Lonchura striata: one gene and its partner. The protein of the gene in region 2 purifies or fractionates together with the protein of the main gene of each other region. This does not show direct contact. Links are inferred from orthologs where the notes say so. Each region holds a gene or a part of one and is shown on either strand. Other genes may lie near its edges. The genes, in order: GLG1 and OSBPL8.

Evidence for each region.
Region 1: the proteins of OSBPL8 (region 2) and GLG1 purify together in Homo sapiens (co-immunoprecipitation; 3 studies listed by BioGRID and IntAct, with this or other methods). This does not show direct contact. The link is inferred for Lonchura striata from reciprocal best matches to the Homo sapiens genes OSBPL8 and GLG1.

The regions. Positions count from the first base shown.
Region 1 is NC_134615.1:15,920,715-15,924,620, reverse strand, and holds the start of GLG1 (Golgi apparatus protein 1), read right to left. Parts: upstream 2,752-3,906; 5' UTR 2,743-2,751; coding exon 2,431-2,742; intron 1-2,430. UniProt on the Homo sapiens protein: Binds fibroblast growth factor and E-selectin (cell-adhesion lectin on endothelial cells mediating the binding of neutrophils).
Region 2 is NC_134607.1:47,136,357-47,140,262, forward strand, and holds the start of OSBPL8 (oxysterol-binding protein-related protein 8), read right to left. Parts: upstream 2,496-3,906; 5' UTR 2,362-2,495; intron 1-2,361. UniProt on the Homo sapiens protein: Lipid transporter involved in lipid countertransport between the endoplasmic reticulum and the plasma membrane: specifically exchanges phosphatidylserine with phosphatidylinositol 4-phosphate (PI4P), delivering phosphatidylserine to the plasma membrane in exchange for PI4P, which is degraded by the SAC1/SACM1L phosphatase in the endoplasmic reticulum.

The DNA of each region.
Region 1 (3,906 bases), on a different chromosome or scaffold from region 2:
TACTTGTATCACACTAAGAAAAATCAATGGATAATCCTCACAGTAACACTCTCAGTTTCAAACAGAATTTTCTCCACTTTAGAGAAACATTTCTTATGAGAAAAGTAAGATTACCTTAAACACCTAGAGAAAAAAAGGCTACTTCTGCAGCCTAACTGCATCTAAAAATCTTACCTGCTACTTGCAGCAGTGTCCATACACTGTCCACACTGAGACCATCACACACAAAACAACTCCCCCAAATCTCCACTTACTATAGCCTGACTGGTTTTAAGTGGGCTGTATGACTCAGACTAGATCCTCACCCATTTTAAAACGTAATTGTCACTTTTCTGGTATTGTCCAAACAAGTGGTCAGATGCTCTAGAGTCAAAAGTAGAAGTTATACCAATAACAGACAATACGTCACTTCTTTCCTCTGCTGTCATCTCCAATGCAAAGAAAATGTCTGAGACGACATCTGACCCCATTCCCAAGCAGCTGAAATGCTACCCAATGTTTACAACTCAAGACCTTTATTCACAGTCTAAATATCAAGTGTTAAACTGTAGGGATACACAGAAGTCAGCTATTTTAATTAATTTCTAGGAGCAGCACCCTGTGAAGTCATTTTTACGTCAGGATGCAGCCCATCACATCAGTGTTACTGGGGGCAAAGTGTTGAGAGTTAAGATCAGCTGACAGTGCTCTTTGCAAGCTGACAGACAAATAAGGGCAAGGCCAGAGTGGCACCTTCAGAGAAACAAAACTCAATCCAGAAGAGCCCTGAGATGTTCTGTCGATGCTTGGGATGTCACCCAGGAAAAAATTCACCTTCAGCAATGAGCATCAGGCAACACTACAGCTAGACAAGATCAAGAGCCAGCAAACTACTGACATCAAGGTAGGCTTAGGAATGGGAAAACCACAAGCAGACATAACATTCAAAGAGTGGAGTTCTCAGGAGATATGCAGAGCTAACATAAGGGTTTGTACTTGCTGAAAATAAAGCGTGATGCAAAACATTCCTTCACCTTTGATTTGATCTTATCCCTCTCCCTGCACAGCCCTGTGTACCAGCCCTGCACTCGCCCCCCTCTGTGCTTTAACTCAGAAAAATGGCAAAACTATTCCAGCAGAAAACCAATAAACTAGACCACAAAAGGGTTCACCTCGCTAAAATGGCAGAAAACCAACAAGCACTGGAACTGTGAAAAGAGTAGGGAGGGGCTATGCAACTGGAAAGAAAGGAACAAGAGCTTGCCTTTTTGGCAGGCTGGCAGCTTGTGAGCCACTGCCTGTGAGGTCAGCTTCCGAGATCCTCCCAGACAGGATGCCTCCCAAAAAGGGGGCCAAAAGATCTCAGACAGGTGAACGGAACAGCAAGGGACAAGTTATTCATAAAGGACATAGTGGAATGTTTCATACCTGTGACAGATTTTGCAGCAAGACTCATTTAAAACACCTACCACGAGTGTCTTACTAACTACCCACACAAAATTAAAACATGAAGTTAGATTAAAATCTAAATTAGCTTTGCATTTTAAGCCAGAAGTAATCACTGACACTTACTGGTTCAAGACTCCCTTTGATTAGAGTACCCATTGCCACTGCCATCTGCTGTCCCCATAAAAATGGATGAAAAACAAGCCCAGGTTTTTCCTAATCGCATTCCCTATTGGGCAAAACACCAATAAAATTGACCCAGTCTGGCATTCCCGGACTCTACAGCAGAGAAGCCAAGAATATATAGACCTCGAGACTAGGCAGGACAGCTCACTAAAGGCACGTCCCCAAAGGCTGCTTCAAAACGAGCCCAGGAATGAATGAAAAGATGGAGCTGGAAGACTCGGAGGAGGCAACTCAGTTTTTTCTTGAACTGGAGTTAAAACTGCTCACGACAGGTGTATGGGAACAACACAGACTGTCCTGTTAACCTCCCCATAAAGTCAGCTAAATCCAACGATTATATATCGAGTTTCATACATGCACAACCGAGGACTGGAAAGCAGCCGCCTCTGCAGCCGAGTTCGTGGCGAAGGTGGGAGCCTGAACGTGAAAAAAACATCTCAGGTCACTGCTGCTATGAGCACGGCGCCTTCACTCAGCACTAGGCAGGCTGGGCTCTCCCAGACCTCCAGAAAAGAAGAACCCCGCAAGCACCGGAGCCGGAGCACAAAGCCATCCCCGAGAGCTCTCCCTGCCCGCAGGGCGCTGCGCGGGCGGCAGCGCCGAGCCCCGAGGTGCGGATGAAGAGGAGCTGCTCGCCGGAGCCCTTACGGCCACCCCGCAGGCAGCTCGCTCCCCCTCACGGAGCTCCGCAGCGCAAACTCCGATTTTTAAAACACAAGCCATGAGGGATACGCGGGGCGGCGGCGCGGCGGGGCGCGGACCCGGCTCTTTGTTCGCCGCCGCGGGCAGGCCCGGCCCGGCCCCGGGCCCGACCCTCACCTCGCGGACATCCTGCAGGCACTCGAGCACGGCGAGGTTGTTGGCCCAGCTGTGCTTGGAGCAGAGCCGCACCACGTCCTCCCGGCACACCGCCTCCTCCGACAGCTTCCACCCGCTGCCCGACCCGCCGCCGCGGGCACTTCGCGGGGCAGCCGCGCCCGGCCCCACCGGCTGCCCCGCTGCGGGCGGAGCACCGCCGGGGCCGGAAAGAGCGGCAGGAGCGCTGGGCGCCGCCGGCCGCGCCGCCAGCGCCAGCAGCAGGAGCAGCGCCGGGCCCGGGCAGCGGCTCCGGACACGTCCGCACGGCGCCATCTTGGATCCGCCACCTCCGGCGTCCGCCCGCCCACCCCGCGGCACGCACGGCGTATGCAAATTAGCGCGCCCGTGACGTCGCCCCAGCGGGACGCGCCCCTTTCCCGCTAGGGGGCGTGGTCGGTTGTGGCCCCTCCCGCAGCACGCGCGGCGGCGCCGCCTCGGCCGTTGTCGCCTCAGGAGGACGAGGCGCCACCCCGGGGTCCCCGCGGCTCCCCGGGCCCGACGGCCCTCGCCGCCCCTCAGGGCTCCAGCACGTCCTCAGCGGCCCCGCAGCCTTTCAGGGGACCCCACCACCCCTCAGCTGCCCCGCAGCCCTTCAGCCGCCCCGCAGCCCCCTCAACGGTTCCCGCAGCCCCGCAACGGCTCCCGGATCGCCTCAGCGGCCTCCGCCACCCCACAGCCACGCGGGGCGACACGGCCGAGCCAGCGGCGGTGCCGGGGCGCCAGGAGCCGAGCCCGGGCGTGCTCAGCCCCCCGGGAAGGCGGCAGCCGGGCCAGCGCCTCCCTCAGCAGGTGTCCAGTAGCTGCAGATTTTGCCCGAAATCTCATTTCCCACTCGCGCTTCGGCTGCCCAGCGACTGAGGAGGCGGGAGACGTAATGGGGAAACTGACCTTTGCGAAAGTGTCTGATGACAGTTCTAGGGAGCTGGTTGATGAGCCAAGTCTGGACAAGGATGAACAAATACAGAAATACAAACAAGAATTACAGAAGAATGAAGAGAAAATGCAGGCGATCAAAGCAAAAATTAAGAACACTGAAGAAGAAATGCAAGAGATCAAAGAAAAAATACAGAAGAATGAAATAAAAATACAGGAGTACAAAGTAAAAATAGAGAGGATCAAGGAAAATATACGGAAGAACGAAATGAAAATACAGATGAAGACAGAACGATTAGAGGATATCGAAGAGGAAAAAAAGAACAATGAAGTACAAAAAGGGTATGTAACAAAAATGTGGACAAACAAAGAAAAAATACAGGATCTCAAAGATAAAATACATAAGAACAAAGAAAAAATACAGCAAAACAGATTAAAAAAGCATGCAGAAAAAATACTGAAGAATGAAGTAAAAATAGAGAATGAAATAAAAACACGTAATGACAAAGAAAAAGTACACGATCTCGACAAAAAATTACAGAGCATCAGAGACAAAATAGAGGC
Region 2 (3,906 bases):
AACAAATTTATTTTCTGTTCTGAAGCAGAAGACCAAGAGACTAAGAGATAAGTTATCTGACAGACAGCCTAAAGCAAGAGGAATTACACAGCACAGGAAGGGAGAAGGGAGAAAAGGCCCTTGGAAAACTCTCTTGCATGCTTCAGGAAACAGAATAAGTGGGAAATGCAGTGGGGAAGCAGGTGGCAAAGCAGTAATCAGTGAAGAGATGAAAGCCTAATAACTGACTCAATACAGTTCATTAAAACTTGGCTGAGTGTTCTATGCAAAGATTTACTGGACAGAGAGGAGGCTGGAACACAACTTCACAGAATACAAAGTATGCATAGTTTCTTTACTAGGCAGTTGCACAACCATTTATTTGAAAGTTTAACAGCAGACAAGAGGAAAGAAAATGGGTACATGCTGCATTGCCTCAGACCCTTCTCAATCACTTCAATTTAAGAAAAGGCAATCTAAAAATGAGCCATCTTCAATAAATTTCCCTTCTCCCAAAATTATCTTCCTTTCATTTCTGCATCTTATTTCTCTTTGGAGCAAAACCTGAGATAATGCATTGTTAAAAAAAACAGGACCACTGAAGTCTTTCTGTCCCAGTTCAGTTCCTCATAAAAAGTGTACGAGTCCAACATTCTTTCCTGCAACATCAGAAAATTCCTCCTTCTATTGTAAAAGTTAACAAACATCAACAGAGTTTGAGGTACTCTGGGGGTTTATACATGCAGCAGAGATATGAACTGGATAGACCTTTACTAAAAAGTAATTTTTGAACTAATTTGACAAAGTAGCGTGTTTAAAAGGAGTTCTTTCCCTGACCCATGATTAAAGTAGAAAAAGGATTATGCATTGCTAGGCCTAAGCTACATCAGCCTCAAAATATTAGGTTTATTTACAATATGATTTTTAGAGTATTTTCCAAACTAAATGATTCTAAGATCTTTGCAACTCCACAATAAAAAAAAAAAAAAAGGAAAGAAAGAAAAAAAAGAGTCAAAGGATCCACAAGTGATCACAATCACACATCTCTTTTTCCCTCAACTAGTCTCAATTCTGAAGTAGACACATCAAACCAGCATCTGGAAAGGAGGGCTCTACAGCCAAGTTTTGGAAAGTTGTATAATCATAAAACAAATTACTTCAAAGCTCAGGAGTTTTGACTAAAAACTAGTACTAGGCTAAAACAACAAATTACCTCAGAAGTTTGCAGGGAATTCGAAAACAAAACAGCACACAGAAAATTTCACCAGTCCATTCTACAGTTACTTGATAGCCAACAAAGCTATGTTCTCTTCTCATCTTTTCTGCATCATTGAAAACCAGAACTGCATCATCTCTAAACGCTCACTCAACAGACCTGACAAAGACAAGTGGGAAGCACTGCTCTCTGCACAGCTCTGTTGCTGGCCATTATGCTCACTGTAGACTAACAACTCGGTACTAACTCCTGTCTTTTCCGAACTTCAAAACTGAGGCTGATAATTAATGAGCATTAGCAGGGTCCCGATTGCATTAACACTTAACAGATCAAATAGATTTGTATTCCCTATGATGAAGTTAAAATAAATGAAGTTATGAAAGCCGCCAGATGAAAATCAACTCCTTTTAAAAGGTATCCAGATCTTTCAATCCCAAGAACTCTGTTCTGGACAGTGGCAACACAAAACACATTAGAAGCATCTTCAGTGACACACTGAATTGATGGCTTTCCTCCAATCAGGGGAATTCTACAGCGCACTGATACAACGCACAACTTGTGAACACCACTATTTCAAGCAACCCTGTGAACCTCATCGGAACGATCTGCTCGTTCGCTGAGCAAAACGCCCCTGGAGCCCAGGCTCTTTAGGAAGCGAGCCATTCGCAAGGCCTGCTAACAGTGATGCAGAAGCGCGGCCGGCAGCACACGGGACGGGGGACAGTAGCCAGGTTTCGCTCCCCAGGGCACGGCTACAGCGCACGCTTATTTTCCCAGTGCGAGGGGAAGCGGGTTACCGGCAGCCACATTCTAACTGCATTGAACGCCGCCGGTTTCAACGGCGGCCGGCGGGCGGGCCCGGGCTGCGCGCACCGCACTGGCAGCAGCCGGCCCGCGGCCGCGAGCCCCGGCCGCGGCGCCCGGCTCCGCGGGACCGTGCTGCGGCCCGGCGCCGCACCGAGCAGCCGCTCGGCCGGCGCCCGGCAACACTCACCGGCCCCGGCGCTCCCGGAGACCCCCGGGGGCTCCCGGCAGCCCCGTCCCGCCCGGCAGCCGGGGGAAGGCGGCACGCACGGCAGCGCGGCCCCGGCGGCACCGCGGCACACGCGTCCCGCCCGCAGCCGCGGTCGCTTTGGCGCTGCCCCCGGAGCCGCCGCTGCCCTCACCTCTGCCCGCAGCAGGTCCGGCGGGAGGCGCGGAGCGGCGCCCGGCCGGTGCAGGGGAGGGGGCGGCGGCCGGGACCCCTCCCCTGCCGTCCCGGGCTGCGCTCCCGCTGCCGCGCTCCCGCTGCTGCCGCCGCGGCCCCGCCCGGTCGCCGCCTGATCCGCTCATCCGCCGCGGCGGGGGCGCGCGCGCAGGCGCGGGCGGCGGCGGCCCCGCCCCGCGGAGCTGCGCGCGGTGAGGGCGGCGGCTGCCCCGGGAGGAATCCCGGCCCTGCCGCCGCCGGCCGCGCAGAATGCGGCAGAAGCACGGGCTCGGGTGGCGCGCCGGCGCTGTGACATCGCCCAGCCTGGTGTTACGGGATAACCTAGGCAGCGGAAAAGTAGTAACAGTGGGAATAAAATGAGGTCTGAAGCATGCCCGAAAAACTGCAAGACGTGGTCTCAGATTAGCGTCACAACAGGAACCCCTCACTGCTTTTTTTTTTTTTAAGTCGCCTCAAAATGTGACTTCTCAGAATCACTGAATCAATTAGGTTGGAAAAGACCTCTGAGATCATCGAATCCAACTTATGAGCCAACACCACCATGTCAATTAGACCATGGCTCTGAGTGCCACATCCAGTCTTTTCTCAAAACACCTCCACGGGTGGACGGTGGCTCCACCACCTCCCTGGCCAGCCCATTCCCATGTCTAATCACCCTTTCTATGAAGAAATTCTTCCTAATGTCCAAATTAAATCTTTCCTGCTGCAGCTTAAGGCTATGTCCTTTTGTCTTGTTGCTGGCTCCCTGGGAGGAGAGACTGACCCTCACCTGGCTACATCCTCCTCTCAGGGAGTTGGAGACAGCAGCAACGTTACCCCTGAACCTCCTCTTCTCCTAGGACTTTTAAAGATGTCCTCAGTAATAAAACCACCATGAGCAACTTACACATATTACTCTATTTTAAGTAGCATCAGGACGTACCTTACATTGTTATCACCTGCCAGTTGACAGTGCTGAAACAGTTGCTAAATGCAGAGCATCTTCACTGACTTTAAGGGAAAGTACTGTCAGTGCATTCAGAAGATATCTGGCACCTTCAGCACTGACTCGCAACGAGTGATGCAGAAAAGTTGACACAGGATTAATGTTTCCAATTCCAGAAATAAGTCTTTTGCTCCATCCAATTTTCATAAAATCATCGGCTGTATCTCAATTATGCAGCAGTGTGACTAGGAGTCCATTATCTTGGGCTAATGTTCCACTCACAATCTTTTCATTCTGTTCCTTGGAATCAGAGTTAATTAAAAGGCTGACTATTCTTTTCTCAGTACTCATTAATGCTTCTGTAGAAAGATGTGTATATATTCCTGCCTGTGGAAGATTGCTTTGTCTTCTCAGCAATGAGGTATAAAATGTTGAATAATACAGAGAACATATCTAATGATGAAAACAAAATTGAAGTTTCTTTGTACAAAGCTTTTTATGATTAAACAATACTTCTTTCCAAAGGAGGGCTCTGGAATTAAATAGTTCACTCTGACAAGAGCCACTCACCCAGCCTTC